Linked DNA regions of Elephas maximus indicus. The main gene of each other region encodes a partner of the protein of the gene in region 2 in a complex. Links are inferred from orthologs where the notes say so. Each region holds a gene or a part of one and is shown on either strand. Other genes may lie near its edges. The genes, in order: SH3BP5 and MAPK10.

Region 1 (16,103 bases), on a different chromosome or scaffold from region 2:
TAATAATTGGCGTGGAATACTGCAAATCTTAATTACAGTGAGAGCTGGAAATTCTCTGTGCTGCATCTGTTTCAGCCAACATTTGAGAAAAGATGGTTCTATATAACATGCATCTTAAAATTGCATCAGTATATTCACTTGTTACCTCACCTGGCACGCTTGTTACACCCCTGAATGGCCTATTTCTCTCTCTCAGTCCGTCTCCTTTCCCTCTGTACACTGCTCAGCTCACTCCCAGCACAATGGTCCCCCTTGCTGGTTCTCAGACGGGCCAGGGCCCACTCTCCCCTTAGCACTGGCTGTTCCCTCTGGCTGGAATACTTTTCCCCCACAGGGCCACAAGACTCACTGGCTCACTTTCCTCTGATGGTCTTTCTCCAGACATCCCCTTCAGGGAAACCTCTCCTGCCCACCATATTAAACACGGCATTCTCTTACCCCAAAATAACCACCTGCTGAGACCCTTCCTGCTTTGTTTTACTCCTCCACACATATCACCACATTCCCTAGTATATTTGTTTCCAATTTTAAAAAATTTTTCTTTTTTTATTGTGGCAAATATATAGGTAACAAAACATAGGCCATTTCTACAATCATCACATGTATAGTTCAGAGACATTAATTACATTTATCATGTTGCTGGAAACCCTGGTGGCATAGTGGTTAAGTGCTATGGCTGCTAACCTAAAGGTCAGCAGTTCAAATCCCCCAGGTGCCCCTTGGAAACTCTGTGGGGCAGTTCAACTCTGTCCCATAGGGTCGCTATGAGTCAGAATCGACTCGATGGCAATGGGTTTGGGGTTTTTGGGGGATCATGTTGCTCAACTATCACCATTAACCAGTCCCGAATTTTTCCATCACCCTTAACAGAAGTTCAGTGTTCCCTAAGTATCTTGTCTCCTCCCACCCCCGCCCCACAGTGTATTTTAATCATTTATCTTGTTCATTACATTTCCTCCCTCCCCCACTCTCAGGAGGACAGCAATTCCTGTCCATTGTGTCCAATGCTCCGTCCTCATTACCTAAAACTGTCCTTAGCACACAGTAGGTGCTCAATAAATATTTGATGGGTTAATAATTAGAGTTGATTAATCAATGTGTCTGTGGGAAAATAACATTATTATCTTAATTTGAAACACCAGGCTAGCCCTTTGGTTAAAAGGTTATTCCCTTGAAAAGCTTAAAGAGGCCCACTCCCCCCAGTATCCATCAGAGTGCAAAGGGGCCACCAAACCCACTGCCGTTGAGGCAATTCCAACTCCTAGCGACCCTACAGGACAGATTAGAATTGCCCCATTGGGTTTCCAAGGCTGTAAATCTTTACAGAAGCAGACTGCCACATCTTTCTCCCACCGAGCAGCTGGTGGGTTCCAACTGCTGACCTTTCAGTTAACAGCCAAGTGCTTTAACCACTGCACCACCAGGGCTCCTAAAGGGGCCCCGGCACTGTGCAAACAAGGCCAGACGCAAGCAGAAAGAGGCAGATGTGCAAGTGACAACATGGCAGGTGGCCGGCACGCAGCAGTCTTTCGGTCATCTCAGATCTAAACAGCTGAGACGAGGACTGGACGGTGAACGTGAGTACCAGGAGGAACACCCTGTCTGTGGTTGCCCAGAGACAGTGACACCACATTCGAGGAGTGGATGAGCCACAAACCTGCTCACCAATTCAGTTTAATCAGAATCGGACAAAGTCAGGAGAGGGTGCTGAACATTCCATATCAGAACCCAAAAGCAAAGGGAAAGAAATGGATGGACAGCAAGGCCCTCTCCCCAGAGGCTCTGAAAGTATACATGTTCACTTTAAAAAAAAAAAACCCCACATTAGTACCTGTTTTCAATAACCGAACGAAATTGGAAGAGGATTTTGGCTTTTACAAAAAAAAAAGGCAAAAAGCAGAAGTAGCGATCAGCGTTGGTTTTGCAGCTAGCTGTTAAAGAGGCAGTGCGCACCCTAAGCAGTGAGAGTGGGGTCACCAAGCTTCTCCCAGGGAACTGCATACACGAGGCATCTCAGCATCAAGTCACACAGTTGCGGTAGTTTTGAACTGTGTGTGAGCACCTGCGCTTTATCTTGATTTATTCTGTGCACCCATTAGCAAGATGTGTCCCTAAGGTAAGAAAGCCTAAGAGAGCTCATGAGGGTTTTATGTGTTACTTGGTATGTTATTTTTTGGGTCTGAGAACACTCAAAAATGTTTCCCATGTAAATTAATAGTAATTGGTGCTTCACTTTATACCATTTCGGCGTGTGAAAGGTTTCACAGGAACACTTTGCTTTCGAAAAGTAGGGGAAACCTTTATATTAAAATGGCCTGTTTTCCAGCCCCACATCCTTCAACCCCTCTCCTTGACCACCCCAAGCTGCTCACTCTGTGTGCCCTCTTTGCACGTGGACCCCCCCATCTTCAGGTCTCTCCCGAGTGTCACCTGAAGTGACTCCCCTCCCAGTCTCTGTCACATCACTCTTATTGCAGTCATCACAATTAGTAATTATTTTCTGCCTCTCCACTCCTCATCCCCAGCTGTAATGGACAGCATCGGCCCCCAAAATTTATGTTGAAAACCCTAAGCCCTATCCCTGGAGCACTGGTGGCGTGGTGGTTAAAAGCTCAGATGCTAACCAAAGGTGGGCAGTTCGAATCCACCAGCCACTCCTTGGAAACTTTATGGGGCAGTTCTACTCTGTCCTATAGGGTCGCTATGAGTGGGAATCAACCAGAGGGCAATGGGTTTTGTTTTGGGATGCCTATAAATATGACCCTCTTTGGAAACAGGGGCTTTCTTTTGTTATGTTAATGAGGCCACATGTAGTAAGGTGGGTCCTAAATCAAATCACTTCTGAGTTAAAGAGCAGACTAGGCACAGAGAAGGAGCCCTGGTGGCACAACAGTTAAGCACTCAGCTGGTAACCGAAAGGTTGGCAGTTTAAATCTACGCAGACTTGATAATCTGCTCCCATAAAGATTACAGCCTAGAAAACTCTATGGGGCAGTTCTACCCTGTCACATGGGGTAGCCATGAGTCAGAATCGACTGGACAGCACCTAACAACAGACACAGAGACACACACAGGGAGAAGAAGTATTTACAAGCTCAGGAATGACAAAGATTGCTGGCAGCTACTAAAAGCTGAAATACACAGGGAAGGGCCTCCCCCTAGAGCCACACCCTGAATTCGGCCTTCCAGTCTCCTGAACTGGGATCAAATAAATTTCTGTTCTTTAAAGCCGCCCACTTGTGGTATTTGTGTTATAGCAGTACCAGGTTAACTAAGACGCCAATTGATATGTAAACTCGAGGGCAAGGCTTTTGCTTGTCTTGTTCCCTGACAAATCCCCAATGGCCAACAGACCGCCCAGCACAAAGGTGGTGCCAGTGCTTGACTAAAGGACAGACCCCTGACCACACACACACACAGAGACACACTCACACACATACCCCGCATCCTCTCTTCCAGGCTCCGGCCATGTGGCAGGTGTCCAGAGACCTGTGTCCCCTGCCTCATCGGTCCAAACTGAGATGAGCTCTAAGTATAAAATACATACCAGATTCTGAAGACTTAGTACCCAAAACACAAAAAACTAAAATAGCTTATTAACAAATTTTTATATTGATTTCATGTTTAAAATTATGCTCTCTTGGATACTCTTGGCTAAGTAAAATATATTAAAATTAATTTCACCTGTTTCTTTTTGCTTTTTAATATGGCTACTAGGAAATTTTTAATTATTTATGTAGCTTGAGTTTTACCGGGCAGTGCTGTTGTTAGTCAGTCTTAGTTATGATAACATCATGAAAAGCCAGCCAGCAACATGGCCCAGCCCTCACCACCTCGCTTCACAGGGCTACCAAATACTCTTCAGGGCACAGCAGGAAACACCTGCCCTGCTTGCTTCCTGTGACACACAAATATTTAAGAGTATTTGGAAATGGAATTCGGAAATCAGGGCTAAAAAGAATTTATCCGGTAGAACCAACTGTACCCTCAGAATGTAGGCTGTCTTATGCATAACCCAGAACAGTGCCCAGCACATAATTGCTGAATGAATAAATCGATCTTTTGCAAAGGAAAAAAAAAAATTTCCAACTTGTCTATTCATTTGGAGAATCCCTGGGTGACACAAATGGCTATGCATTTGGCTGCTAACCAAAAGGCTGCAAATTTGAGTCAACCCATAGGCACCTTGGAAGAAAGACCTGGCAATCAATTTCTGAAAAATCAGCCACTGAAAACCCTATGGAGCACAGTTGTCCTCTGACACACATGGCGGTCGCCACGAGTCAGAACTGGCCTGACAGCAACTGATTTGCTTTTTTTGATTTTTCTATTTCTTTGGCGTGGTCGAATATAAAAGCTGGAGGGCATCTGGAAAATGCATGGGTCTAGGCTGGGAGACCTGGCTTGGCCACACTGCTGAACTGTGAGACACTGAGCCTCACGATCTCACCTAGAGAAGAGGTAGGCTCTGCCTTCCCTACCTGTCCAGGTTAGTGCCATTTAGTAGAACTTTCTCTAATGATGGAAGTGTTCTCTGCTCTGCCCAATACAGTAGCTATTGAGCTCTTGTTATGTGGCGATAGTGACTGAGGAACTGAATTTTTAATCTTTTAATTAATTTAAATTCAAATAGCCACATGTAGAAAGTGGCTACCATCTTGGGCAGCCTAGCTCTAGGTTGCTGGAACAGGGTGGAGTAAGATAAAGCTTGTAAAAAACACTTGGTAAACTCTAAAGCCCTATAGAGTTGGCACAGGTTTTGTTGTTGCTGCTTGTTTAATACACACCTACTCCTCACTTATCAACTATCTCATTATCCAACATTTTGCATTTATGACAACAGTAAAAAAAAATCTATCAGACTATTTTGCACATCAGTGACATACACCTGGCCGTAATGAACACCAAGGTGCCAGCGGAGAATAATGCTGGCTGTGATGGTTAAGGTTATGTGTCAGCTTGGCTGGGCCATGATTCTCTGTGGTTTAGCAGTTATGTAATGATGTGATTTGGCAGTTAGGTAATGATGTAGTCATCCTCCATTTTGTGATCTGATGTGGTCATCCTCCATTTTTGCATATCGTTGATTTTCACATAACGACCTGATCTTTGGAACCTAACCATGTCGATAAGTGAGGAGTGGGTGTATTAGACATCTGAGATTCAGAGAGGTTTCCATGGTCCAAAATCACAAAGAGACTCAATTCACCGTAACTGAAAAAAAAATGTAAACAAACACAATGATTTTACTTCATTTTGGGGAGAATCGCAGCCAGTTTCATGGATAACCCTTCACAGAGCTCAGAACACCAAGCTTTTCAGGCCAGATTTCATTCATATTTGGTATTTCCAGGGCCTGGACATGCAGTTAGAAATCATGGCTGCCAGTGTATTCTTGGTAGATTATATTCCTATCTCCTGCACCCAGGGACTGGTGACAAGGCCACATTTTCTGTCCTTCCTGTTGACCTTTCTTGCTGTTTCTCCTGCTACAGAAACAGGTCCTCCCAACGGCTCCCTGCATGCCTATAGCTCTAACAGACACGGGCTTTCAGATATACAGTAAAACCTATGAAAGCCAGAACCCATGTAACGTGGAAACCTGTCAGACAAGAAAAACTCAAATATTTTCCATTAATAGAGAGTGATAGAAGAGCAGTAGGCTTGTACCCTGTCAAAGGTGGAAAACTTGTGAGACCCGGAAAAACAATGCATTCCGTTCGAGTTCCAGCTCTCACAGGTGTCACTGTATACAGAGGTTGTTCAAATTTGCTGATGGATGGTAAAACCAACCACTAGTAAATAGGGGTGAGGACTAATTGGTAGCTGTGAAGAATGCTAATCTATTTACACTCAGGTTGGAAAATGCTCCCGAAATGCAAATCAAGCTTGCCTCCCAAGACTCTTCCCAGCAGGAAGGCCTTTCTCAGTCTAAACAGCTTTTCCTTACCATTAAGATAATTATATTCTACACACAAGTAGACAAAAAAGAAACACGCGGGGAAGTGGAAAGGAATGGGGAGTGAATTATTAGTACAGCAAAGTAAAAAAAAAGGGTGTAAGTCTGAGGAAACACCAAACAGTTCCAAGTACAAATGGAAGGAACCACCCTAAAATATTTAAGAGATTTCATGAGCTCATTCATTAAAAAGACTTCAACTAATATTCCCCTCAGTCCTTTCAGCTTTTCCACAGACACATTAAGTCTGGGTTTTAAGCATGTGTAATATGCCACACAGCCCTTGGTTTGGCCCCATGGAGCTTCCATAATGAAAAACAACACACGAAATTGGATCCACATGCGTTTGGCCCACTGGTTGGGCTCAGTGGTGTATTTCATCCTGACAGACAGCAAGGCTGTTGCTCAACTCCCATTGCTCAACTCCCAGGGGTGGGCCTTCACAATAACCGCTGGCTATATATTAAAACAAAACCAACTGGCCAGGAATAAGTGTGACAGCCACCCCTTCAAGCTTTCTGTACCTCAAGTTCAGTCTCCCGTCTGTTGATCTCATCCGTGGATTGATTTAACTTCTCCAGTTCTCCCTAGTGAAGAAAAGAGAGAGAAAAAAGATTTGAGGGGTCAGGCTTCTGTTTCCAATAAAATTCAGCTCATAACCTGAAAAACTACCCCAGCCCAATTCATAGGAAGACGGAAAAGGTGGTTTTAATTTTCAAGGAAAACAGATGAGTTTGAGCTGGAGGAGCAAATGAAATGTCTGTATTTCTGAAAACTTTATCTTGACGGTATCTCTTTTAAAAATGACTTAAGGGTCTAGGAATTATTTGTCTTTTCCGATAGTCAAATATTTATTCCAGGTAAGTGCCTCCAGGTAAACCCACCTTATTACAAAGGGTTCAGCTACCAAATTCAAACAGTAACCTCTGCCTTAGAGAAGGAGAACGTTGTAGAAAAAATTAAAAAAAGAAATCAGCACATGCTAAAAATATAAGCCCAGTGAAATGATTTAACTCAAGGAAAGACTTCTGTCATTAACTCATCAGCGGCTGAGTGTTTTTCTACAAGGAAAATTTTTTTTTTTCCAAAACTGCCAATTATTTAACCTGCCTAGCCTTTTTTCTTTCTATACTAGCTTTAATCCCAGTCCTTCAAATAAACATTTACAACCAACATCTGTAAAAAGTACCCAGTCTGAAGTTAACTCCTCTTTACTCTGCAAACAAAGGCTATTGCTAACAGAATCGCCTAGCAAGAACGCAAACCAGTGATTTTAATTAATAGGATCATTCCTAATAGAAAGATTTTTTCCCCCTGATCTTTACCTTGCTAATCTGCCAAAAACAATTCATTTAAACCCTAGCCACTTAGTTTAACGAGGTTTTAATTGATCTACGCACTGAAAAACCAGTTAGGTAGGGCTCCAGAGATTGCATGGCATTGCTTACAAGCAATATAAAAAAAATGATTTATGGAAAGGGTAAAAAAAAAAAAAAAAATGGGTCTTGGAAAAGAGATTTGCTGTGTTTTTGCTTAGGGGTGAAGAGGTTAAGCTGTCACACACAGATTTCGGCTTGAAAATTGTTTTTTAATCATCCCTCTAGGAAAAAGCCTTGGTGCCGCAGTGTTCGCTGAGCTGCTGCTAACTGAAAGGTTGGCCGTTCGAACCCACCAGGCTCTCTGCAGGAGAAAGATGTTGACAGTCGGCTCCCCTAAAGATTACAGCCTTGGAAACCCTATGGGGCAGTTCTACCCTGTCCTATGGGATCGCTATCAGTCCGAATTCACTCGACGGCAATGGATTTGGTTTTTGGTCTAGGAAATGGAAGCACAGAAGGCCAGGCCAGCCCCCTCGCCTCCTCCACGCGTCGGTTCGGCTCATCAGTTGTGCCTGGTTTCTGTTCACACCCGACCCCACAACAAGGAAAAAAGCAGGGCTTTAACCCATTTCAAGCCAAGCGGAGGTTTGAGCCAATGGCGACAATAAACCCTCCCAGTTTCCCTACAATAAATCAAAGGAGGAGGAAGGCAGCTCAGGCTGGGCACCCTGGCCAGGTGGGGGTGCCGGACCCAGGACACCGGTGCCAGTCCACGCTGCAGGGGCGGCAACGCCCACCCGCCAGGCTCGCGGGCCGGGCAAACCCTCCTCCCGGAGCCGGGAGGCTGTGCAATGCCTGCGGCGCCACTAGCCTGGCTGAGAGCACCCCGATACCGGCATGGCGCCCCCGCCCCCTTTTTCCCTTTGTTGTGCATCCGCCGAACCACTGGTACGCTGCGGGGACCCCCAAATCTCGCCAGGGGCCTGCAGGGGTCCCCGCAATATAGTCAGGCCGCATCCAAAGAGCACTGCAGCCCCCTCAGTGGGGAACGGTGAAACCGAGTATTCAGACCCTCTCGTCTCGCCCCGGACCGCAGCGCTAGACGTTGCGGAGCGGGATGTAGGTGTAGACGCCGACCTCCACCGCAGCCCTCGCGGAACCCGGCCCGAGGGGCCCCCGCGCGCCCTACCTGGATCCGAGGATCCACCTCCTCCTCCTCCTCCAGCCCCTTCTCCATGCCTTCTCCCTCCTCCTCCTCCTCCACGTCCCGGGCAGGCGGCGGGAGCTCGGCGGGCTCCTCGGAGCGACTCCGCTTCAGCGCCGCGTCCATGCAGGCAGGGTGCGGGCCCCGCAGCCAGAACGCGAGCCGCGCCTTAGGATCCGGAGCGTCCGAGGGGTCGCGGCCGCCGCAGGCTCGCCCAAGCCCGGCACGGTCCCGGCAGCCGCCGCGGTCGACACCCAGGAACGCCGCTCGCGGATGCGGGTCGGTCCGGCCCAGGCGGAGCGAGCGGAGGAAATGCGCCCGGGCGCCCCCTTTCTGCCGCGGCCGCTAGGACAGCGGCGCCCGCTCCGCCCTCGCCCGGCCGCCCCTCGGCGCGGCGCTGACACCATTCATGGGCCAGTCGCAATTACCCAGGTGTCCGTCACAAAAACCCCAGCTTCCTGAAGACCTCAAGGGAGGTGAAATGGGACAGCCCCCGCTCCCTTTTAACTGAGCAGCACGAATACATTGCGAACTACCTAACGCTAGCCACCTGTTTTCTGGGTAGCTTTCTCCCTCCTCGACAAGGCAGATTTAGGATGGGAGGAAAGTTGGGGACTTTTCCACTCTCTGAAGTTACCTTTACAGTCCCGTACTCAGTGACCCTACATTAATTTCAAGGCTCTCTGAAGCCCCTGTCCCCTCGGCTAAACCTTGTGAGTTGTATCTACTTGGAGATTTCCCCAGAAATGGGAACTGAAACATCCACCCTAGACGCGCAGAGCTGCACGTATGGATTCCTTTTCCACAGGCTGTGGCCTCTCCTGGCCAGAACTCCATGCCCAAACACATGCCCACGGGATGGTCCTACCTGAATAGCCGTGAAGCAGCGAGAATTCACTGAGTGTGGATTCAGGTAGGTTGGTACGGCCTTTTCAAGGAAGCAGCAACTGTAAGACCTGTTGATGGGCATACTCTAGCCAAGGGGTTATGAACTGGCGAGGTTTCCTGCCCAACCCACAGGTAGGGAGCCAACACTTGCCTGGGAAACTCGGCATCACCAAAGGCCTAACAAAAGGACATGTCTACACCATGATGAAGTGTCAGGGCCACTGTGAGGTTGGAGGACTACAGGGTCAGGTAACCTTAGCAAAGCACTCCAGGGATAACACCACTGATCAGGAAGTATACACTTTCATCACCAAGGCTTGTGGGCCCTTGGCTCTGTGAGAACAAACCTGCTTGAGAACAGAGCTTTCTGAGAGCCTATCATTAAAGTCTTGAGGGCATGTGTGGTTCAGTGGTAGACTTCTTGCCTTTCATGCAGGAGACCCAGGTTCCATTTCTGGCCAATGGACCTCACGCTCAGCCACCTCTCTCCTGTCAGTGGAGGCTTCCTTGTTACTATTAATCTGAACCGGTTTTGGCAGAGCTTCTGGAGTAGGAAGAATGGCCTGGTGATCTGCTTCTGAAAAATCAGTCATGAAAAACCCTGTGGAGCATAGTTCTACCCTGACACACATGGCGTCACCAAGAGTTGGGGGACAACTTGACAGCAGCTAACAACGGCATTATTAAAGCCACCTTGGAAAACCCACTTCTGACGGTTTTATCAGAAGCTAAATTGTGGGGTTACTCCTTGAGCAAAGCACCACCCTACATGCCAGCATTATGGTCCATTGTCAAAGGAAGTTGTCCTATTTCCTAGGGAGGTAGTGCAGGTGTACATTGCAGGTTTCTGAGGGGCATTTTGTGTTTTGGTTTTTTTTGTTCTGAAAAGATCACTGTAGTAGGAGCTTTATAGGGTTGGAACCCATTAAAGGCCTTGCTATTCTGTGGAGAATGTTTTCGTAGGTAATTGGATTTTCACGTGGAGGCTCTAAGACAGGGAGCAAAGGTCCTGAGATCAAAGGGTACCTGTTTGAAAAATAGCAAAGAGGCTGGTGTGGTTAGAGGAGAAACAAGTAAAAGAGAAATAGACTATAAGGGAGGTAATAGGGGGTTGAGTGTGGAACCTAGAGACTCAGTAAGACAAGGAACAGAGGGGCCCCCAAATCTGCAAACAAAGTAACAAGAAATGGGCCAGGGCACAGAAACAAAGCCATTTCACAGAACAATGGGGCAGGGCATCTAAAAATAGCCTGCAAACTTCTTTAAAGTTGCCTTTCAGAAGCAGCTGGAGAAAACCAGGCCCAGGGACATGCGAAGAACATCCACTTGTGGCCGCTTTGTGGCCTTCCACCAGAGGCAGGGAGGGGCTACAGCCCCAGCTGGGGACTCGAACCCGGACAGCGGGGGACTACGCAGGTGTGACACCCCATAATAAGTCCTGCTATGAATCCCAGAGGCCTCCAGGACAGGAGCCATCTTGGAAAGCTGCTGCGCACACCTTAGATAACATATCCCAGCCTGTGCCTATGAATAAACATGAATCTTTTCCTGCCCAAGAACTTTTAAAAACTCAGGGCCTGTCTTTTGTTCTGTGAGATGAGGGTAAGCATTGCTCTAGGCCCTCCTGATCTCCGCTTGCAAGCCTCTTCAATAAAGCTTTCCTCGTGTGGAAAACTACGTGCCTTACGTGCTCATTCTTGACCACTGAGAGGCAAGAACCTTATTCCGGTAACAGCTTCATGTCCCCTCACCACCACACACACACCTTTATCTGTTCATTGCTCTTTAACTTAGTGACCCAATGATTTTCTTCTTTGAATTTTTTGTTGATACCCTGTGTTCTCACTAATGGAAGGCATGCTGATTTAAGGACCAACTTAGAATTTTTGTTATGATTTATGGATTTTGATACCCATCGTCTAGGATCCCATATGTCCCAGTGGATGCCGGATGTAGAAAATCCTACCGATATGAGTAAGTGATGAAAATAATTTTTTCTTTTCTTTTTTTTTTTATTTCTTGAAAATTTGCAAATTTTCAAGAAATAAAAACATGAAGGCACCTGGCAATGACTACACATACATTTTATTCTAGTCTCCTTCTTCTTAGCCTTTCTATTATTTTTCATGAAACTTGTCAAAACATGGTACGATGCATTCTTCCTTACTGCAAAAGCAGTACTTACAGCCCAAATAAATAAAACTAAAGGAATATGAACCTCAGGAACATCATCACTACCATGTATTCTTCACCATAACAAAAGCAGTACTAACAGCTAAGAAGCAGAAACAGCTGCCCTGGAGTACTGTATACCTCTTCACCTGCTACACTTGGAAGCAACGATAGGTCCCTAGGATTGAATGCTGGTAAGAAATTATAGGAGTTCGAGCCTCTTGATAAGTACCCCTGAAATGCATTATTCCTTATTGCAAAAACATTACTCACTGTTCAGAAGCTAGAAGAGCAGTCCTGAAAGAGCAAAGACTCAAAGCAGAGCACGGAACCAGGAACACCTGGCAACAGTGAATGGTGCCAAGGAGAAAATGGCCACTATGACTGGATGAAGACTAGGAATAGCTTATTCTGGGGACACAAGGGCCCCCAATATTTCTGGCGACTTTGAACTGAGCCAATAAGGGAGCAGGTTCATCCCAGCTGTAAAAAGGAGGAATACAGGGTCAACCCTGACTCTAAATGCTTCCCAGCTGGAGGAATCCCATCATGACCGTTTTAAACTACAGCCCACAACATACATTTCTGTTTGAGCACTGATCCACGAATAATGGAATGGTTCAAAATGCCTCTATGGGACATAGGGAAACTGCTCTGGAACATCAGTTTAGACTTCTGTTGTCTTGTTTTTAGGATACCTGGGCAAGTTTATCGTGTTAATCCTAATAGGGTTTCTAAGGTCGAAATAAGGAAAACAAATAAATTATGAGCAGTACTACGTATTTTCTAGTGGTACATATATATGCACATAAATGCATAGAAAAGGGTCTGGAAGGATCTATACGAAACCAAGCGTGGTTCCCCCTGGAAACGGGCATAGGGAGCGGCCCAGGATTGGCTGGGACTGAAAGGTCAGAACAAATTTTGTTTCCAAGCAAGGTTTTCATTTATTACAAGAATGTGCTTGTAATTATTTATGAATTTAAAAATAAACTTTAGATAATACATACTGTTTTCTATTGCTGAGTAACAAATCACCACAAACTTAGAGGCTCAAGAGGAGCTCTGGTGGTGCAGTGCTTAAAGCCCTCAGCTGCTAACTAAACGGTCAGCGGTTCAAATCCACCAGCTGCTCTGTGGGAGAAAGATGTGGCAGTCTGCTTCCATAAAGATTACAACCTTGGAAACCTTATGGGGCAGTTCTACTCTGTCCTATAGGGTCTCTATGACTCATAATTGACTCGGTGGCAATGGTTTTCATTTATTATCTCAGAGTTCTGAGTCAGAAGTTCAAGCCTGGTATGGCCAGGTTCTCTGCTCAGGGTGTCACAAATTGAATCAGGATGTCAGCTAGATTGTGTTCTTTTCTGGATACCCTAGGGGAAGAATCCATTTCAAGCTCATCCAGGTTATTGGCCAAATGCAGTTCCTTGTGGTTGTAGGATTACCAAAAAAAACCAAACCCATTGCCGTCAAGTTGATTCTGACTCATAGCAACCCTATAGGACAGAGTAGAACCACCCCTTAGAGTTTCCAAGGTGCTCCTGGTGGATTTGAACTGCCGACCTTTTGGTTAACAGACATAACTCTTAACCACTACACCACCAGGTTTCCGGTTATAGAACTAAAGTCCCCATTTCCTAGCTGACTGTCAGGGGTCAATCTCTGTATTCCTTGCCACATGCCCCCCTCCATCTTGAAAACAACAACTGAAGACCTGGCTTGTGTCAAATCCCTCTTGTGATTTGATCTCTTCTTTATTTTTTTATTTCAGGAAGAGCCCAGTCCCATTTTAAGAGGCCACCTGATTAGGTCAGGCCCACCAGGATAGTCTCCCATTCCTAAAGTTAATTATGCCATATACATAACCTAATCATGGTAGTGACTATCGCATCGTATTTACAAATGCCCTAAATTATACAGTGGTATGTAAACCAGGGGACAGGAAACTCTGGGGCCATCTTCTAATTCTACCTCCACACATACTAAGAAGGCAAGCCATGTTATTAAGTAAATGCTTATATTTATTTTAGCTGGCATATTGATCTAGAGCAGTACTTCTGAAAGTTTGGACTGGAGACCCCTGAAGTTCTCCGAGACCTTTCAGGGTATCTGTCAAGTCAAAGCTACTTTCATAAAAAAAAAAAAAATTTTTTTTTTTTAAGTGAATAATACCAAGACAATATTTGCCTTTTTCTTTTTCATTCTTTCACAAGTTTTCCAGAAGCTACATGCAGGAGCAGATAGGTAGGAGAATCCAGCTGTCTTCTGTTAATTAAGCCAGACATTAAAGAGATCTGCAAATGTAAAACAATGCCCTTCTTGTCACTGTTTTTATTGTTTTGGAAACTACAGTTATTTTTTCATAAAATTATAATATTTATGTTAACCCATTGCCGTTGACACAATTTCCACTCATAGTGACCCTACAGGACAGAGTAGAACTGCCCCATAGGGTTTCCAAGGCGGTAAATCTTTACGGAAGAAGACTGCTACATCTTTCTCCCAGGGAGTGGCTGGTAGATTCAAGGGACTTTTTGGTTAACAGCCAAGCGCTCAACCACTGCACCACCGGGGCTCCTTATTATTGTCACTTTATACCAATTAGTAAATAAATTTTTTTAATTCTCAGTTTTAATTTTCCAGTACAGTAACTGCTTATAAACATAACCACATAAACAAAAGGTCTGTGAGATCCTCAGTCCTTTTTAGGAGTATAAAAGGGTCCTGGCATCAAAAAGGAAACCCTGGTGGCAGAGTGGTTAAAAGCTACTGCTGCTAACCAAAAGGTTGGCAGTTTGAATTCACCCAGGCACTCCTTGGAAACTCTATGGGGCAGTTCCACTTCGTCCTATAGGCTTGCTATGAGTCAGAATCAACTGGATGGCCGTGGGTTTGGTTTTTTGGCATCAAAAAGTTTGAGAACCACAGACTTAGAGGAACTGTACACTCTGGTGCGGATTTAAAAAATTTTTATTTAAATATATTTGAATTTAAATGTTCCACTTCCCTCTTCATGAAAAAGATCCATATCCCCCTCTCAAGACCCCTGTTGACCTTTGGTGGAGTATTTCAGGCACAGTACATTTACGTCCATTTTAAAAGACTTTAAATATAATTTAACAATGGTAAATGATTCAGGACATGGTTATATGATGGGTTGCTGGTGTGGCTTAACGCATCCCTGGGTAGCACAAATGGTTTGCTCTTGGCTACTAACCTGAAGGTTGGCTGTTCGAACCCACCCAGCGGCTCTAAAGAAGAAAGGCTGGGCGATCTGCTTCCGTAAAGATTACACAAAGAAAACTCTGTGGAGCAGTTCTTCTCTGTAACACATGGTGTCGCCGTGAGCGGGAATCGGCTCCGCAGTAACGGGCCAGAATTGACTTGAAGCACCATTTTCTTGACAGAGGCTGATCACATGGTGCACGCTGTGGAAGAAGATAGGATGCCTGCCATCTTCACAAAAATCTTGAGAACTGCTTTGTTGGAGACCGCGCTACCTGATGGATTTCTTTTTATTGCCTCCTTGGAGTTTGTTCAAGTCCAGACACTGGGGGAAAATACATTGTGTGTGTTTGTTTACGGCCCCACCACGTCAGGTTGTAATGGTTCCTTGGTGAGAGTCATAGCCTCTGCACTGCTCCCAGTTGCCATTGGAAACAGTGGGCTGGGATTTGGGTGGAAGGAAGAAAAAGGGGTCTGGCAGGATGAGTCTATGCTCATCTGTTTCTCTACAGTGGGTTCTTATTTGTCACGATCTGGTTTTCTTTCATGGGATTAAAATCAACCTCTCCTGTAACCCCACTTTCTCACTGATATCATACATTTACAATCTGGGCCTCAACCTCCCTGAATCACAAAACGAGCAGGTCTCCAACAAAGAGAGACCCTCCCCTTATTTAGTGTACCCCTTGGAGAAGTGAAACACTGGGGTATTTCTATTCCTGTAGGTGTGGAGAGAAACTTTAATTTATTTAATAAGCACTCAGAAAGCCCTGCTATGTTCAAAGGGTGTTACTTTTTTATATTCTGGTGAGCAGAGAGATCTCCAACTATGTCCAAAATGTTCTTTGGGCTTTTTTGTGAAGCTAGCAACTTGTTATTTCCTCCAAATTCTTGAAAACCCAGGAGTGGAAAAATGAGAGAAAATAAAAAGATTTGCTGACTTCAAAGCACTTCCAGTGAGTTTTGGGCAGGAAGGATAGTTGCCTTAGTCATCTAGTGCTGCTATAACAGAAATACCGCAGTGGATGGCTTTAACAAACAAATGTATTCTTTCACAGTTTTGAAGGCTAGAAGTCTGAGTTCAGGGCACCAGCTTCAGGGGGAGCCTTTCTCTCTCTGTCTGCTCTGGGGGAAGGTCCTCATCATCAATCTAACCCTGGGTCTAGGAGTTTCTCATCACAGGGACCCCAGGTCCAAAGGATGTGCCCCACTCCTGGCTCTTCTTTCTTGGTGTTAGGAGGTCCCTTCTACTTTCTTCTTTCTCCTTTTATCTCTTGTAAGATAAAAGGCAATAGAGGCCACACCCCAGGAAATCTCCTCTTACATCAGATCA
Region 2 (15,746 bases):
AAAAGAATTTCAAACTCTCATGGACTCCAGACTTCCTGGAGCCACGGAAGCTGGATGAACCCCTGAAACTACTGCCATGAAGTAATCTTTATGCCTTAAACCAAAAATATCCCCCGAAGTCTTCTTAAAACCAAAGAATAGTTTAGTTTAACTAGTAAAGAATGTCTGCCTTGAGCATTGTTCTCTTTCAAGATTTATTTAGATGAGATCAAACTGACAACAGCAACTAGAAAGATTAGATAGGAACCTTAGGAAACAGTAAGTTATGGGAATGGTTGTACAACTCGAATAATGTAATCAATGTCACTGAATTGTACATGTAGAAAATGTTGAATTGGTGTATGTTTGCTATGTATATTCTCAACAACAACAACAAAATAAGTAAAATGAAATTTAAAAAATATGCATTGTTTTTGTTAGTTACCAATGAGTCAATTCTGGCTCATGGCAAGCTCATGTGTGTCAGAGAAGAATTGTGGTCCACGGGGTTTGCAAGGCGGTGACCTTTCAGAAGTAGATTGTCAGGCCTATCTTCAGAGTTGCCTCTGGGTAGATCCAAACCACCAAACTTTTGGCTAGTAATTGTTTGTGCCACCCAGGGACTCCAAGAATATATAGATAGATAGATTATAAGTACATGGAGTTCAAGCATAAGCACAACTGAGCTTTACTGTTTAGAGATGCACACATACATGGAAAACCTACGAAGAAAAGCAAGGGGATGAGTATAACAAAAAGCAGGATAGTGGTTAGCGGTTACTTCTAATGGGGAAGGAAAAGGATCTGATCTGAAAAGGACACACGAGGGCTTCCTGGGAGTATATTCCCTGACGTGGGTGGTGGTGGTAGGAGTTTTACTTTATAATTATTCTTTAAATTCTACATGTGTATGTATATCTTCTAGGTGTATGACATATTTCATAATTTGAAGTAAACCTGATCATGTCATTCTATTTAAAATCTTTCAATAGCTCTCCACTGTGGAATAAAATCCAAACACATTAGCTTTGTCTAAAATGCCCTTATGATATGTCTCCTGTTCAGTTTCTTCTCTGCCACTCGCATTTATGCTCCATTCATAGTATCTGTTGCCCCCAAACAATCATGCTTTCTGAAGTAGACAAATGTTTTTACTCTGCACTGATTCCTCCTTTCTTCTAGCTAACTTCTCACTGTCCTTAACATTCAGCTAAAATACTACTTCATTTAGGAAGCCTTCCTTAATAAATACCCATCTCCACCCGTGTTAAATTCTCCCCTGCTGTGCTTCCTTTAGTCTACACAGTTCCTAGCACTTTATAAATACCATACCTCTTTAGAATATATCTACTCCTTTAATTACACATTTTATTGTAAGTACTGCACTCTTTAGACTGAAAGCTCCTTTAAGGCAGGGACTATGTCATCTACCCCAAAAGCTTCGCATGATAACTACATCACAGATTCTCAATAAATATTTACTTAATGGATAAATATTTACGTTAGGGTCAAGGTATTGTATTTTTTTTCTACATCACATAATGTGACACGTAACTCAAAGTATTAAGTTCAACCATATAAAACTGACCTTATTTTAGGTCAAAAGGGCTGGTTATTGGCAATTACATATGATTTACCCTTCATAATAAACACTCATTGAATACATTTTAATTAAGCACAGCATAGTGGTGATTGATATCTGCTTTCTCAATGTAATTGTAGGCAGACTGTAATAACCATGATACGAAATAACCGTAGAATTAATTTCAGTAGTCTTCAGCAATTAAAGGCTAGGCACTAATTCACAGGCAGGGCTTCGAACCACTTCATTTCAGTTTGAACCGCTGCTGAGAATTTGCATTTCCACCCCACGGAGACTGAATCAGAATCTACAGTTTAACAAGATCCCCAGGTGATTCTCACGTCTAATAAATTTTGAGAACCACCCCTCTCCTAGCAGCTCTCAGAACTGGTCCCTAACCAGCAGCTTCAGTATCAGCTGGGAACTTGTTAGAAATGCAGGTTCTCACCGGGGGTTCTGACTGGACCTAACAATTCGATGCCCTGCTCACAGGGCAACCCACCTACGCAGAGTTATATAAACCACTATATGAAATGAAATGAAAGAGATATATTGATCACCAGTTCAAAACAGCTTCATTTGGAGTCTTACAAGCACTCCTGTCATACCTTATTTCTCAAAGATGTTATTTAACAGATTATAACACATTCGTCTCTGCTGGAGTCTATTGATTATTGACTTCGATCTCTATGAAGCATCAAGAATTTGATTAAAAAAGATATTTTGTCTGTGTGTACTGATGTTTTCATAAAATAATAAGACGTTTTCAAAATTTTCCCAACAAAGGAAAGCAACTGGATCTATTTTTAATATTGTTTTGATTAAGCAAAAGAATTGGTAGACTAAAATGTCTATAAGTTGACCTTTATAAAACTGTGATGTGATTTCTTTTCCCTTATTTCTGAAGATTTAACTGTTAACTAATACACATAACACACGTACACTATTCTGAAAGGAATTAAGCATCATAATTTTACCCTGAGCCGATTTTCCTACTAGAGGACTAAATCAATAGAACACAGAATTATGTTACACATAATAAAAGCCACTTAAAAATACTGTTACTTAGTCACATGAAATTATTACTTAGTCATCTTACGTCTTACACAGGCTGGGATCACCTATGGCATCATACAACCCATCTGCGCATCTCAAGACCCCACAGTGCACCATCAATTAAACATCCTGTCCTACTGATTTTCACGTTCTTAGCTGACTTTTTTGAAATACTATTTCTTCAGGTCCATACCCTAAACCCAATGCAATATTAAAATCAGATACATAGATCATATATTTCTCACTAAGGAACATTTTTAAATTTGCAACTCACCACTGCTTGTATGGTTTCTCATCTACAGGAAATGGTTCTAATTCAACAGTTTCTTGCATGAGTTGCCATAACGAAGACTGGAGATGGTCCTGCTGTTGATGTTTCTCACACTAGCCTAAAACCAAAGTCAAAAGACAAGTGAGTTTGGTTTTAAATGAGAATTTCACCAGCATTTAGAAAACAAAAAGACATAAATCAAAGAAAACTGATGACAAAGGGGGGACGGGGTAAAACATCCTCAAAGTAGTTAATTCTGCTCGAAATTCATCACATGCACAAGAACTTTCCTGCTAACGCCAAAGCAGCTATTTTAAAATCTGAGCATAAACCCATTAGTAATTGTTATTTTGCTTGATATATTTGGTTTTATGATATAAAGCACCCCACCCTACTTCAACCGGGGCAGCACCACTATCACATATGTTTATGTACATATGTTTACATATTTTCCTTTTCATATAAAATTTCATTAGAACAATGACGATAAAAGGAAGAACAGAAGTTTGAAAACCTCTGAAGTCTGTGAAATAAAGTAAAACAATACTGAAGTTGAACTGAGGCTAGAAAGGGACCTGTATTTATTGTCTTCCTTAGTAGAACCTAGTTCCAAACCTGCTTTTCAACCTTTATCACCTGTTACTTCCCCGCATCACATTGGCCTGATTCTCCGGGGCTATGCCAGTTTCCAACGTTCCAATTCTATTGTAAAACCATAAATTCTAATTTCTGGCTTGGAAAGTACAGTCACCATACCCATGTTAAACCTCCAGTCTACTGCAAATATGAGTCTAGTTCCCGGGCAGGTACTTAAAACTGCTGCTAGGCATACCTTCGCCACCACCCTCCAGCCCCAGTCATCCCAATGTCGCCTCTATCATTTCCATGGAGGTGAATTTTCTTCTCTGACTTTCTATTGCACTTACTGCCAAACCACTAATATGATTCCTTAATCATATGCCATCTTTATTGTTATTTCAGTTTTTGTGTTATATCTTATCTCTCCAAATGACTGTAAGTTCCCCATTGTAGCACCTCTGGGTTACACTTTCCCAACTGCTTTCCCGCAGCACTTAACAAAGAACAATGTACAGAGGAGACATTCATTCAACTAATACTTACTGTGTCCCTAATATGTGACGGATGGAGTCCCTGGTAGTGCAAATGGGTACCAGCTTCTAACAGAAAGATTGGCGGTTTGAACCCACCACAGAAGAAAAACTAGAAGATCTGCTTCTAAAAAGTCATAGCCACAAAAACCCTACGGAAGGTAGTTCTACTCTGAAACACATGGGGTCACCATGAGTCACAACCGACTCCGTGGCAACTGGTTTGGTTTTGGTTCACTGTGTGCCAGACAGACACAGTCAGTCCCCAACAGAGATTCCAGCTTAGTGGAGGATACTAGTCCAGTTGCCATCCAGTTAAGTCTGAGACCCACGTGTCAGAGCAGGACTGTGCTTCACAGGGTTTTCAATGGCTGAATTTTCAGAAGTAGAATGCCAGGCCTTTCTTTTGAGGCATCTCTGGGTGGGCTCGAACCCCATTAACTATTTGTATCACCAAGTGACTCCAGCAAAAGACAGATAACTGAATAGGCAATTACTGTGATGTGTGCTAAGTGCTGTGGTGGAGAAAGTACAGACACTGATTAAACATTACCACGTAAACAGACGTAAGAGCCTGACCTCACTATCAATACTTTGATATCCTATTTTCAATGTAAAAGAAGGGGGCTATTACTTTAAAAAAAAAAAAAAAAAAAACCCATTGCCATCAAGTGGATTCCGACTCATAGGGACCCTATAGGACAGAGTAGAACTGCCCCATAGGGTTTCCAAGGAGCAGTTGGTTGATTTGAACTGCTGACCTTTTGGTTAGCAGCCATAGCTCTGATCCACTATGCTACCAAGGCTCCCATTTTCAGGAGGTACAGAGAACACCCAGGCAGGTTAACATCTACAAACCAGGAAGCAGTTTTACTTCTATAAAGACAAGTCACTAAGATGACCTTCTAATACTTTTAAGACATTGCTGTTGTTTTCTGCTTCTCGCCACAAAAATGTGGCAAAAATATCGTTTATTACGAAGTAGCCCACTCTGCAAATGCCTAAGTGCTCCGTAGAGGAGTTCTGTCTTAATCGGACACAGCACACCGGGCTTTAGAGCAGCTGTGGTTAGGGATGCTTCCGAGAAGCCGGAAGTCACTCTTTTTCCATTCAAACCTTTAATTCCCATTCCCAGGAACACTATCTCTATAATCGCATGATTTTTACATCTCACAGTCACCAGGGATAAGAACAGGGAGAAGTATTGTAGTGACTTGTTACGAATCCAAAACATCAATTAAACTACAAAATTCTTTACCAAAAATAAGTATAATTTTCAAGCCTACTTTTCAAACCTAAAATGCTTCTATTTAGGGATCGTTAATATCACCTGGGGTTTCCACTTAGCAGAGTCCCTACCAATATTCACAATAAGAACGGAAGCTTCCCACCACTAAATACAGAAAACAAAAAGTACCCCAAACATACAGATTTTTCATTTTCCCCTTCTTTGCCTTGATTTGTTTGAAAGATTAAATTTACTTGAACTGAAAAATCTGAGTCCAAAACCTTACAACTTTGCTATGAAAATATGTACAGATAGGTGAATTTCTGAAAACATGGGCTCCAATTTTAAATTGCATTTTCTCTTTCAAACAATCAATATGCAACATGATCTTTTATCTGAATCAGCACTATAGTGTCTCATCTCAGACTTATGTAATACAATAAATACATCTAATATGCTAAAGGATTATGTTCTCCTTTACAAATAACACTTTCTCTCCCAATAGTCTACAGGCTCAACTTTTTCCACGAGTCCTTGGTACCAGGTGTAATAGATGCATGTGTGGTGGAAAGAGAGGGGAGGCCTTCAGTAAGCCTGCAGCAAGCACAGCATCTTACTCCATTCCTGTCATTGCTGGACACTTTTGTGCCTGTCTTTTGCCTAAGGGCTGCAACGTCCAACCAAAAGCTTAAAAGAGAAGACAAGAGAAAATAGTAGGGGAAACTGAGGGAGAATTTTAAATGTCAATTTGTTTACTTCTTCTTCTAATTGAAGGAAGTATCTCTTGGTTTGAGTCCATTATTCTGATAAGCACCCAAGCAATCATTCGATTTGAATACACCAATTCTGCTAAAAGTCCTTTAGATACAAACAGAACCTAAAGCCAGGACTAAAGCAGGAAGGGAAGCATCTGCAAGCACGTTTAAACAACAAACAAAAAACCTATTTGTCTTTATCTTTTATCATCAGTAGAAAAAGGCTTTGTAACTAAGCTTAATATTCAAAGAAACACATGAAGCCAAAGTAAAACTTAAAAAAAAAGAAATATATATATATATGCCTTTAAACATGGTAGTCTTTTTCAATTTATTTAGGTTAAGCAGATTGCTTTTGCTTATAATGTTCTTATAGGATATACTGACAAGGGAAATTCTATGAATTTTTCTGTCAATATAAAACATATATACATATTATAGTATCCTTGATCAACTCTCAGTTCATTCTAACCTTGAAAAACATCGGCCATGTACTACGAAATCATTAAACACTAATAGCTACAGACGTACCAGACAATGACAGCGAAAACACACTCGGTCCCTCTGGGATCTATTCATAAACATCCCTTTCCAGCATGGCAAACACACTCCTCCCAACAGCAGATGCCGTTGTGGGGCGAGCAAGCAGGAAGCTGGAGGCAGCTGATTTTTCCACTCTACATGTAATTTCTTACTGCCTCATCACCAGGAATCTTTTTACAGAAACTGCGGAGATTTTTGTAAGCTCAGGAGCCCGTCACATTAAAGGTACTTTGCTACAACAGAAGGGAGTGATATGCAAATAAGGAAGCATACAGATTCTTTAATATCTAAGGTGATACTACCTTTGTCAACTGATTTTCTAGCCCTATGGTAGGGAAAAGAAAAACCAGCTTGCTCCATGTGATACAATAAACTAATCCCATACTTGCTGTCAATTTTAGGAGTAAGATCAAGGTAGAGAGGGGAATACATAACAGAAGCAGCAAACCTGCTATAGCCCTGAACTGTACAGCCCCTAAAATCCAATGGTTCCAAAGCGAATTGGAAGCTTGTGAGCTCCTTTGTGAGCATCACGATATTGACATATAAGCTCACCCACCTAAGGCAGAAAATTTGCAGAAGCTTCTCTCAGGAGAATAGTCATTCCTGCAACCATTTTAAATGTGTTATCAGCATTCTAGGAGACTTTCCTGGATCCAGCAACCAGCAGATTAGGGATGGAGGCAGAAATTGGACCTTGAACTAGCAATGTGTGATACATTTATACCCATTTTCCTTCTATCTGTATTTACACTCATTTTCCTGCCCCATATGACTTAGCCTGCCTCTTCCCAGTGCGTTCATGAAAGTTATAGTCAGCACGCAGATGCGGGCAGGTCTGCTGTAAGACACTGCGAGGCTCTGCAGCAAAGACGGTCCATGTAAACAACCTTGTGACTGCTTCAGAGAAGATTGCGTGGGATAAGCCATTCTTTCCTGTGGCTAAATTTCAGTGCCCTGGGAAGTTTTTTCCTTTAAGGGGGTGAAAGCAGTGACTGACCCTTGATTTAACTGTAGGAATGAAAAGAAAGAAAGAAATATATATGTACATACATGTTTTAAATATCTGATTTACTTGAAGATTCCCCTGTAAGTCACACTTTTCTTGCTGTGTGCACAGATTCTGATATATTGCCCTGCTCATTTTTAACAGTATATCTTTTTTTTTTTTTTTTACTTTGCAAAAGGAGCTCTGACATTTCTAAGGGACACAGTATCCCAGCATAGAATACCTGGGAACCTTGCCATTAAATTAAAAAAAAAAAAAAATGGTGCCTGCTGTGACTAGCGGATCACTTTCTTAAAGGGACCCTTTACCTATGTGACTGCGGTGACAATTTTTCTTCTTAACTCTAATCTGATCCCTCTTCTGTGTTCTCTCCCCAGCCCAAATTTAGCCTAGAGTCTCTTTGCAAGAGTAATGCCGTTAGTTTTGCAGCTAAAAATATATAAATATCATTCCCTACTAAAATGTGTAAATATGTCCCATAATTTTTTTTATTTAAGTTTATTTATTTAAGTTACACATCTCAGGAAATAAAATAAATGCATACTTAAGGGCATTAATTTTAATTTCCTATGGAACCCATATCATTTCTCAGAAACGGGACTGAGGTCAGCACTTCTAACAAGCACAGATGCATTCGCTCTCTCTCTGTCTCTCCTTCTGTAGCTCTGCATTGGTCTAAAACCGCTGGTCACAATAAGAATGCTCCCTCCCACCCTCTGCCACCCCTCACTCCAAACAGAGAGGTTGCAACACGCCCAAGCCTGGAGAAAGATGCTCCGCACTGTGGCAAAGGCTGGTGGCTTCTTGCCTCGGCGGTAGTTCACTTCATTAACCTGCTTTCCACCCCATCTCCCCCCTCCCACCACTCGCTCTCCTGCTCCACCAGGAGCCATCAATAGCCATCACCCCACCCTCCAGAAACAGTTTAGAACCCGGAATGAGCAAAGAGCCACCTACCATTCCGTGCCTGAGAACTACGATCCTGATCCGGCAGTGTTTGCCCCCAAAATCCTCCCTACTTGACTTTCATTAACCACATTCCAAACTGCAATTAGGAAGAGAGTCTTTGGAGGTGGGGAGATTGCTTAAAATTAATGATGGATAGGTAATTTACAAGAAAATTCAATCTTAAAGTCACTCAAAGCCCCTAGAAATTGAGGGGTGAGGAAGAAAAAGGAAAACTGTAAAAACGTAAAAAGAAAAGAAAAAGGTAAGCATATAACAAGCACCATCCACCCCCATAAAAACAAAAAGAGAAAGGGAGGCTTTAAAGAAGAAGAGTGCCTTGCTGAATCACCCTCTTTCACTGCCTGGAAACCATTGTGCAGCGTGATGCTGCCTGTACCATTGTGAAACCTACCAGAGGAGACCGACAGAGGGCTTGGGGAATGGGGTTGCTATGGCAACTAAAAGGAGCACACATGACGTCAAAGCCCAGCGAGGTCTAGGGAGGGGAAGAAGGGGAAAATGGAAAGAGGAAAAAGTCTCCGTGTGGCTACAGATACTGTGTTTTCTGGTGAAACGAGGAGCAGGCAAAATGTGAAGGAATAGAGCTCGTGGGCAGCCAATGTCAGCAAGGCAACTACGATATCACGGATCCAGTTTGCACAACCCGGGAAAATAATCCCCTCTGTGTCGTTCTGGCCGTTTGCACAGCGGTACTGAGGAATAAATACAGGCAAACCAAAACACCCCTGGAAATGCGTTCAACCTGTTTTTCAACTATCTCAGCTATTTACAAACCGCACGGAGAGACATAGGCTATGTCTAAATGTCAAGACAAGCAAAAGACTGTAATAACCTCAAAGGAGAAGTGAGCGTTTGAGTCCTTCCTGCACCCCGGAGGTCATTTGCACAGCTCTATTCCTCTTCTCTGTTTCCTTGTTTTACATAAAATTCCTGAATACCCGCTAAATCAAAGCTCAACAAACTAATTCTCAGATTGCAATTTGGACGTAAAAAGAAAATATTGATAATTTTAGTTAACAAATTGGGGTTCTTTTTAATTTTTTAATTGCGGATAATTCTCTGGAAAACTGATGCAAGTTCCATTATTACTATTTGAGGGTAATATCTCAATTTTATTTAATGAATTTGCCCTGTTTTTTGGTTGTTAGAGGATTTCTTTAAAATACCCATGCAGTTTTAATATCCACAAATAATAGCTTCTTGGAATAAAAGCGGTGACTACTTTCCCTATTTAAACAAAAAATGAGTTTATCAAATTTTTCTGACTTTTTTAAAAATATTTTTTACACAATGAAAATTTTCAATGCATATTTTTGTCACTATATTCTGTTGTCCTTAATGATTGTGAATTATCAAAATTACACATTTTTGAAAGTGAATTAAAAGTATCAAATAATTTTAATTTTTCTATTGAGTCATTTGGCAAAAAATATTTATAAAACCAAATCCACCCTGACTATAACTCTTAGAAGAGTTAAAACCATGAAATGGATAATGTAATGTCCCAAAGGTTGCATTTACAAAGGAAAGGAAAGCTTCTTGCTTGGAGAACAAGAAATATTCCTGAACAACTTCAGAGCTGGGAACAGAGTACACGCATCTCATTAAATCTATAAACCAGTGCAAAAAAAAAAAAAAAAAAACAGTGCAAGGGGATACTAAATACAGCCCCATACTTTTGAAAGTAAGAGGTTACTTTTATTTATTCATTTAAAACTCTTCTTTCAAAGACTTATCATTGATAATATTTATAGAACTCTGGCCAGGCTTCTAGACTAAATAAGTTTTATTGGAAAACACTTCGAAAAAAGTTTGAGGCAGTTAAGGTGTTTTACACCCCAACACAAAGTTCAGGTATGTAATATCATAAGAGAAGTTACCTGCTTTAATATTGGCTATCTCAAAGTTTAACATGTCATAATATTTCAGAAATTAAAAAGCTTTGTTGATAGCTAGTAAAAAAGAGTTGTATAACCTCGGTAATTACAATTAACCATAAATATTTACTGGTCACCTACCAACTATAAGGAGCCCTGGTAGCACAGTGATTAAGAGCTTGGCTGGTAACCAAAAGTTTGGTAGTTCGAATCCACCAGCCACTCTTTGGAAATCCTATGGGTCAGCTCTACTCCATCCACAGGGTCAGTATGAGTCAGAATTGGCAATGGGGTTACCATGTGAAAGACTATACACTATGCTCCTGGAAGAGGGAACTGTCAAGGAAGACAATGAGAAATAAAAAGGCTAAGGAACAGACTGATATGAAATAGTATATATTCATATTCATAAGGTCATAATAACATAAATACAGCATAAGCCCATTGCCTTCCAGGTGATAGTGACCCTATTGGACACAGTAGAACTGTCCCACGGGGTTTCGAAGGAGCGGCTGGTGGATTCGAACTGCTGACCTTTTGGTTAGCAGCCAAGTTCTTAACCACTGTGCCACCAGGGCTCCTAAATACAGTATGGTAAATGCCAAATGAAAGGAAGCAGATACTCTTGTGGGAGTTTGTACAGTGAGTGCAACTACCTGTGCATGAGCACAGTGCTTGGCAAACACAGTAATCCTACTCAGTAACTGTTCTTTTTCTTTTATTTCTAATTTAAAAAATACATATTTTTCTTTTGATCTCTCAGACATATTCAGTTGGACTGAAAATGGCTATAGAGAAGATGATTAGGGTCATCTTACCAAGGGTCTTAAATAAGGAGTTTGGTTTTATCCAATAGTGAATTACAACAGTTTAGGTAATTTAAATAAATAAATAAATGGCGTGTGTTACATGACCAAATTTTAAGAAATTAATTTTCCTACAGCATGTAGAATAGACCTAAAATACTATTTTAATCATCTAAATATTACTGAAATGAGAATTAAAGCCCTAAATAGTAAAACCCACTCCAAAATCTGTAAGCAAGGTTGGCGCCTATCTCTCTTTGTAACTAATGTCATCATGATTTTAACTATTCACAGTTGGCATTCTACTTTCTCCTTTTCTGTAACAGAATATTTTCCTTTACAGAACTACCCTGGTCCCACTGGTGGAACTGCCTATCGTTAAGGATAGCCCATCCCTCTGTTTAAGGGTTAGCTAAATAAACATGAGGGGGTGGGGAAACTAGACTAAACAACCAGACTTGAAATAATGAAAATATTCACACATTGTGAAGAATGTACCCAATGTCACTGAAAAATTTGCGTAGAAATTGTTAAGTGGGAACCTAAACTGCTCTTCAAACCTTCACCAAAAACACAACAAAATATTATTTAAAAGTAAATAAATAAATAGCAAAAAAGAAATAGCTACCTAACCAAGCAAAGAGCCCTCCCTAGTGGCCCAACAGTTAAGGGCTTGGTTTCTAACTAAGGTTGGTGATTCAAACCCACCCCACAGCTCTGTGGGAGAAACACCTGGTGATCTGCTTGCAGAAAGACTACAACCAAGAAAACCCTATAGGTGGTTCTTATCTACCACATGGAATTAGAATTGACTTGACAGCATCTAACAACACATAACCAAGTAGAGTCAATCAGAATCTTTGTAGGGGGTGGTGGGGAAGGACTGCAATATGGGCACTGGGAGAAAGAGATGTTCTGTTTACAACATTGCTAACTGTAAGATAGAACAATTTTAAAGCTTTTGGAGACTATCTTTGCCACCATACTGAGAGAACCCACCCAAGGATGAAATAAATCCAAACAAAAATAATGAGTCAAGAAAAAAAGGGACAGAATATTGACACCGTTTTTTGAATTTCTGATTCTCACCTTGCCTAAAGCCAGTCCCAACCCTTGCATTTCTCAGGTTACATAATCTAATCCAATTCATTTTTTGCTTAAACATCTTTGAGGGGGGTTTCTGCCTATTGCAATCAAGTATTCCTGATTAATATACCATTCTATATTAGGTTTGGAACTACCATGCTTGTGAGAATAAGTAGCTTCTTCCAAATGAAGGAACTTCTTTCACACAGAAAAGATGCAACACAACACGTGTAAACTAAGCAGCCATTACGACACTGAAACACATCGTAAAACTGCATGGGACCATGTAAGGCTTTGTTATTGCTGTTGTTGCTATTTTTTGTTTGTTTGTTTTCAGGAAGAAATCAAGTAAAAGAAAGACCTGGGTGAGTTTTCTCTAAGTCTAGTTCATTGGACAAGTTTTTTGGATGTCTCGTTGTTCTCGTTTCAAATTCTATAAGAATTAGTTGATTAATCTTAGTCTTGATAGTGGGACTACATACAGAGACAACTATGTCTCATGCAGGAATATGCATGATTTGCCAAACAACTTTATAACACAGTGTAGTTGGCATTCTGGTCTTTAAGTTATTTTATTCTAAGTGTGGATATCAAAAGTCAATTCCCAATACCTAGATACCAGTGATGAAAAAATGAACTTTAACTCTTACCGCACATTGTAAACACAAAAATTAATTCAAGATGAATTGTACAACTAAACATAAAAGGTAAAATCTATAAAGCTATTAGAATAAAATTAGAAGAAATATATAAAATAAATTAGGAGAAATAACATCTTTCTGACCTTAGAGAAGGCAGTTTTATTAAGATACAAACAGTACTCACCATAACAGGAAAAAAAAAAAAAAAAGCTTCATCAAAATTAAAAACTTCCACTTATCCAAAGACACCATTAAGAAAATGAATTGGCAAGCCAGAGACTAGAAGAAAGTACTCTTGATACACATATCTGAGAAAAGACTTCAGTCTAGAGTATATACCAATCTCCTGTAACTCGATAATAATAAAAAACAGCATTTTTAAAATAGGTGAAAGACTTAATAGAGAGATGTATAACTGATCAATAAGCATATGAAAAAGTATTCAACATCATTAGTCGTCAGAAGAATGCAAATTATAACCACAATGAAATATCACTTAATACCCACCAAAATGGCTAAAACAAAGGACTGAGAACACCAACTAATGGCAAGGATATTCAGCAACCAGAACTCTCCTGCATTAGTGGTGGAAGTGAAAAATGAAAACAGTACTTTGGGGAATGGTTTTGCAGTTTTTATAAATGATAAACATACAACTACAATACTAAAAAAAAAAAAAAAAACCCAGTGCCGTCAAGTCGATTCAGACTCATAGCTACCTATAGGACAGAGTAGAACTGCTCCATAGAGTTTCCAAGGAGCGCCTGGTGGATCTGAACTGCCGACCCATTGGTTAGGAGCTGTAGCACTTAACCACCACATCACTAGGGTTTTATGACTCAACAATTCTACTCATAGGTATTCACCCAAGAGAATAGAAACACATCCCCACAAAAAAGTGTACATAAAAAGTTTATAATGGTTTTATTTATCCTAGGCAAACACTGGAAGCAACTTGTCTATCTAAAAGAGAATGGATAAACAAATTACAAATTGTAGTATATTCCTCCAATGGAATACTATTCAATAATAAAAAAGAATGAACTGCTGAAACATGCAACAGTATAGATGAATCTCAAAAACATTATGCTGAGTAAAAAACCAGATAAAAAAAGAATATATGTATGTGTGTGTATATATATGTATGTGTGTATGAGTAAAAAAATAAATAAATAAAATATGAATCTGTATATATATATATGAATCCATATATACATAAGTCCATATATATATGAATCTGTTTATATGAATTTCTAGAGCAGACAAAATTAATATATGTGGTGATGTAATTCAGAACTATAGTTGCCTAGTGTGGGGATGAATGGTTGAGGCTGGCTTGGGGCAAGAGAAGACCTTCTGGAGTGATAAAAATGTTCCACCTCTTAATAGAGGTCTGAGTTATCCTCAAAGTGTAACTCGTAATATCAGTGCATTTTACTGTATGTTAAACAAATCTCTGTTAACTAAAAAAAAAAAAAAAGTTTTTAATCAATTACCAAGAAGAAAACTGCTGAGTGAGCCAATAAATTAGACTTCGTAAACCTGCAAATCTGGTCCATACAACGAACCTTGATTTGACAGAGCTAAGCAGATCCAGCAGTACAGAAGACCAGACTCAGGGTTGCCAGAATCTTAAAAGACCCAACAAACTCTCTGAAATGAGGCAGACAATTGATGGAGGTTTACATAACAAACAAGAGATGTAAATTCAGACATTCAAAAACAGTTATCACCAGAGAAGTGCTGTAATAACAAACTCCTGGGTTCAGCTATGTTGTTGTTAGCTGCCATTGCAACCCCAGGCACTACGGAACAAAATGCTGGCCAAGGCCTGACCTGTTCCCATGATCAGACCATTGTGATCCACAGGATTTTCATTGGCTGGTTTTTGGAAGTAGATCATCAGGTCTTTCTTCCTAGTCCATCTTAGTCTGGAAGCTCTACTACAGCCTGTCCAGTATCACTGCAGCACACTAGCCCCCAATGACAGATGGTTCGTGGCTGCCCATGAGGTGCATTGGCAGGGAATCGAAGTGGGTCTCCCACACCGGGGGCAAGCGTTCTGTCAGTGAACCACCACTGCCCTCGCTGCTTTACCTATGTTGTTGTTGTTTGTTGTTGTTAAGTGTCACCAAGTCAGTTCCAACTCATAGTGACCCTTTGAACAATAGAACAAAACACTGCCTGGTCCTGTGCTATTCCCAAAATCTTTGCTATGTTTGAGCCCATTGTTGCAGCCACTGTGTCAATCCATCTACTGAGGGCCTTCTTTCTCTCTGACCCTCTGTGTTACCAGGCATTGTGTCCTTCTCCAGGGACTAGACCCTCCTAAAAACATGTCCAAAGTATGTGAGATGTTTATTCGCCAGCCTCACTTCTAAGTAGTATTCTGGCTGTACTTTTTCCAAGACAGATTTGTTCATTCTTCTGACAGTCCATTATATATTCAACATTTTTTGCCAACATCGTAATTCAAAAAATCAATTCTTCTTTGGTCTTCCTTATTCATTGTCCAGGTTAGCATGCATATGATTCAGTGGAAAATACCATGGCTTGGGTCAGGCCCACCTTAATCCTCAAAGTGACATCTTTGCTTTTTAACACTTTAAAGAGGTCTTTTGTAGCAGATTTGCCCAATGAAATATGTCTTTTGATTTTTTTGACTGCTGCTGCCACAGGTGTTGATTGTACATTCAAGTAAAATGAAATCCTTGATAATGTGAATCTTCTCTCCATTTATCCTGATATTGCTTATTGATTCATTTGTGAGGATTTTCATTTCCTTTACGTTAAGTTGTAATCCATACTGAAGACTGTAGTCTGTGATCTTTACCA

Evidence for each region.
Region 1: the proteins of MAPK10 (region 2) and SH3BP5 are in contact, whole or in part, in a crystal structure (PDB 4H3B), measured with the Homo sapiens proteins. The link is inferred for Elephas maximus indicus from reciprocal best matches to the Homo sapiens genes MAPK10 and SH3BP5. Residues at the interface, in NP_620448.1 of Homo sapiens: Lys121, Asp150, Ala151, Gln155, Val156, Met159, Leu161, Glu164, Arg165, Tyr168, Tyr171, Val197, Lys198, Ser199, Asp200, Cys201, Trp362, Asp364, Glu367; in NP_004835.2 of Homo sapiens: Val341, Val342, Arg343, Pro344, Gly345, Ser346, Leu347, Asp348, Leu349, Pro350.

What each region holds. Positions count from the first base shown.
Region 1 is NC_064845.1:36,056,311-36,072,413, forward strand, and holds the start of SH3BP5 (SH3 domain-binding protein 5), read right to left. Parts: upstream 8,850-16,103; 5' UTR 8,609-8,849; coding exon 8,468-8,608; intron 6,547-8,467; coding exon 6,484-6,546; intron 1-6,483. UniProt on the Homo sapiens protein: Functions as a guanine nucleotide exchange factor (GEF) with specificity for RAB11A and RAB25. Inhibits the auto- and transphosphorylation activity of BTK. Plays a negative regulatory role in BTK-related cytoplasmic signaling in B-cells.
Region 2 is NC_064823.1:69,249,546-69,265,291, reverse strand, and holds the start of MAPK10 (mitogen-activated protein kinase 10), read right to left. Parts: upstream 8,845-15,746; 5' UTR 8,490-8,844; intron 3,007-8,489; 5' UTR 2,892-3,006; intron 1-2,891. UniProt on the Homo sapiens protein: Serine/threonine-protein kinase involved in various processes such as neuronal proliferation, differentiation, migration and programmed cell death.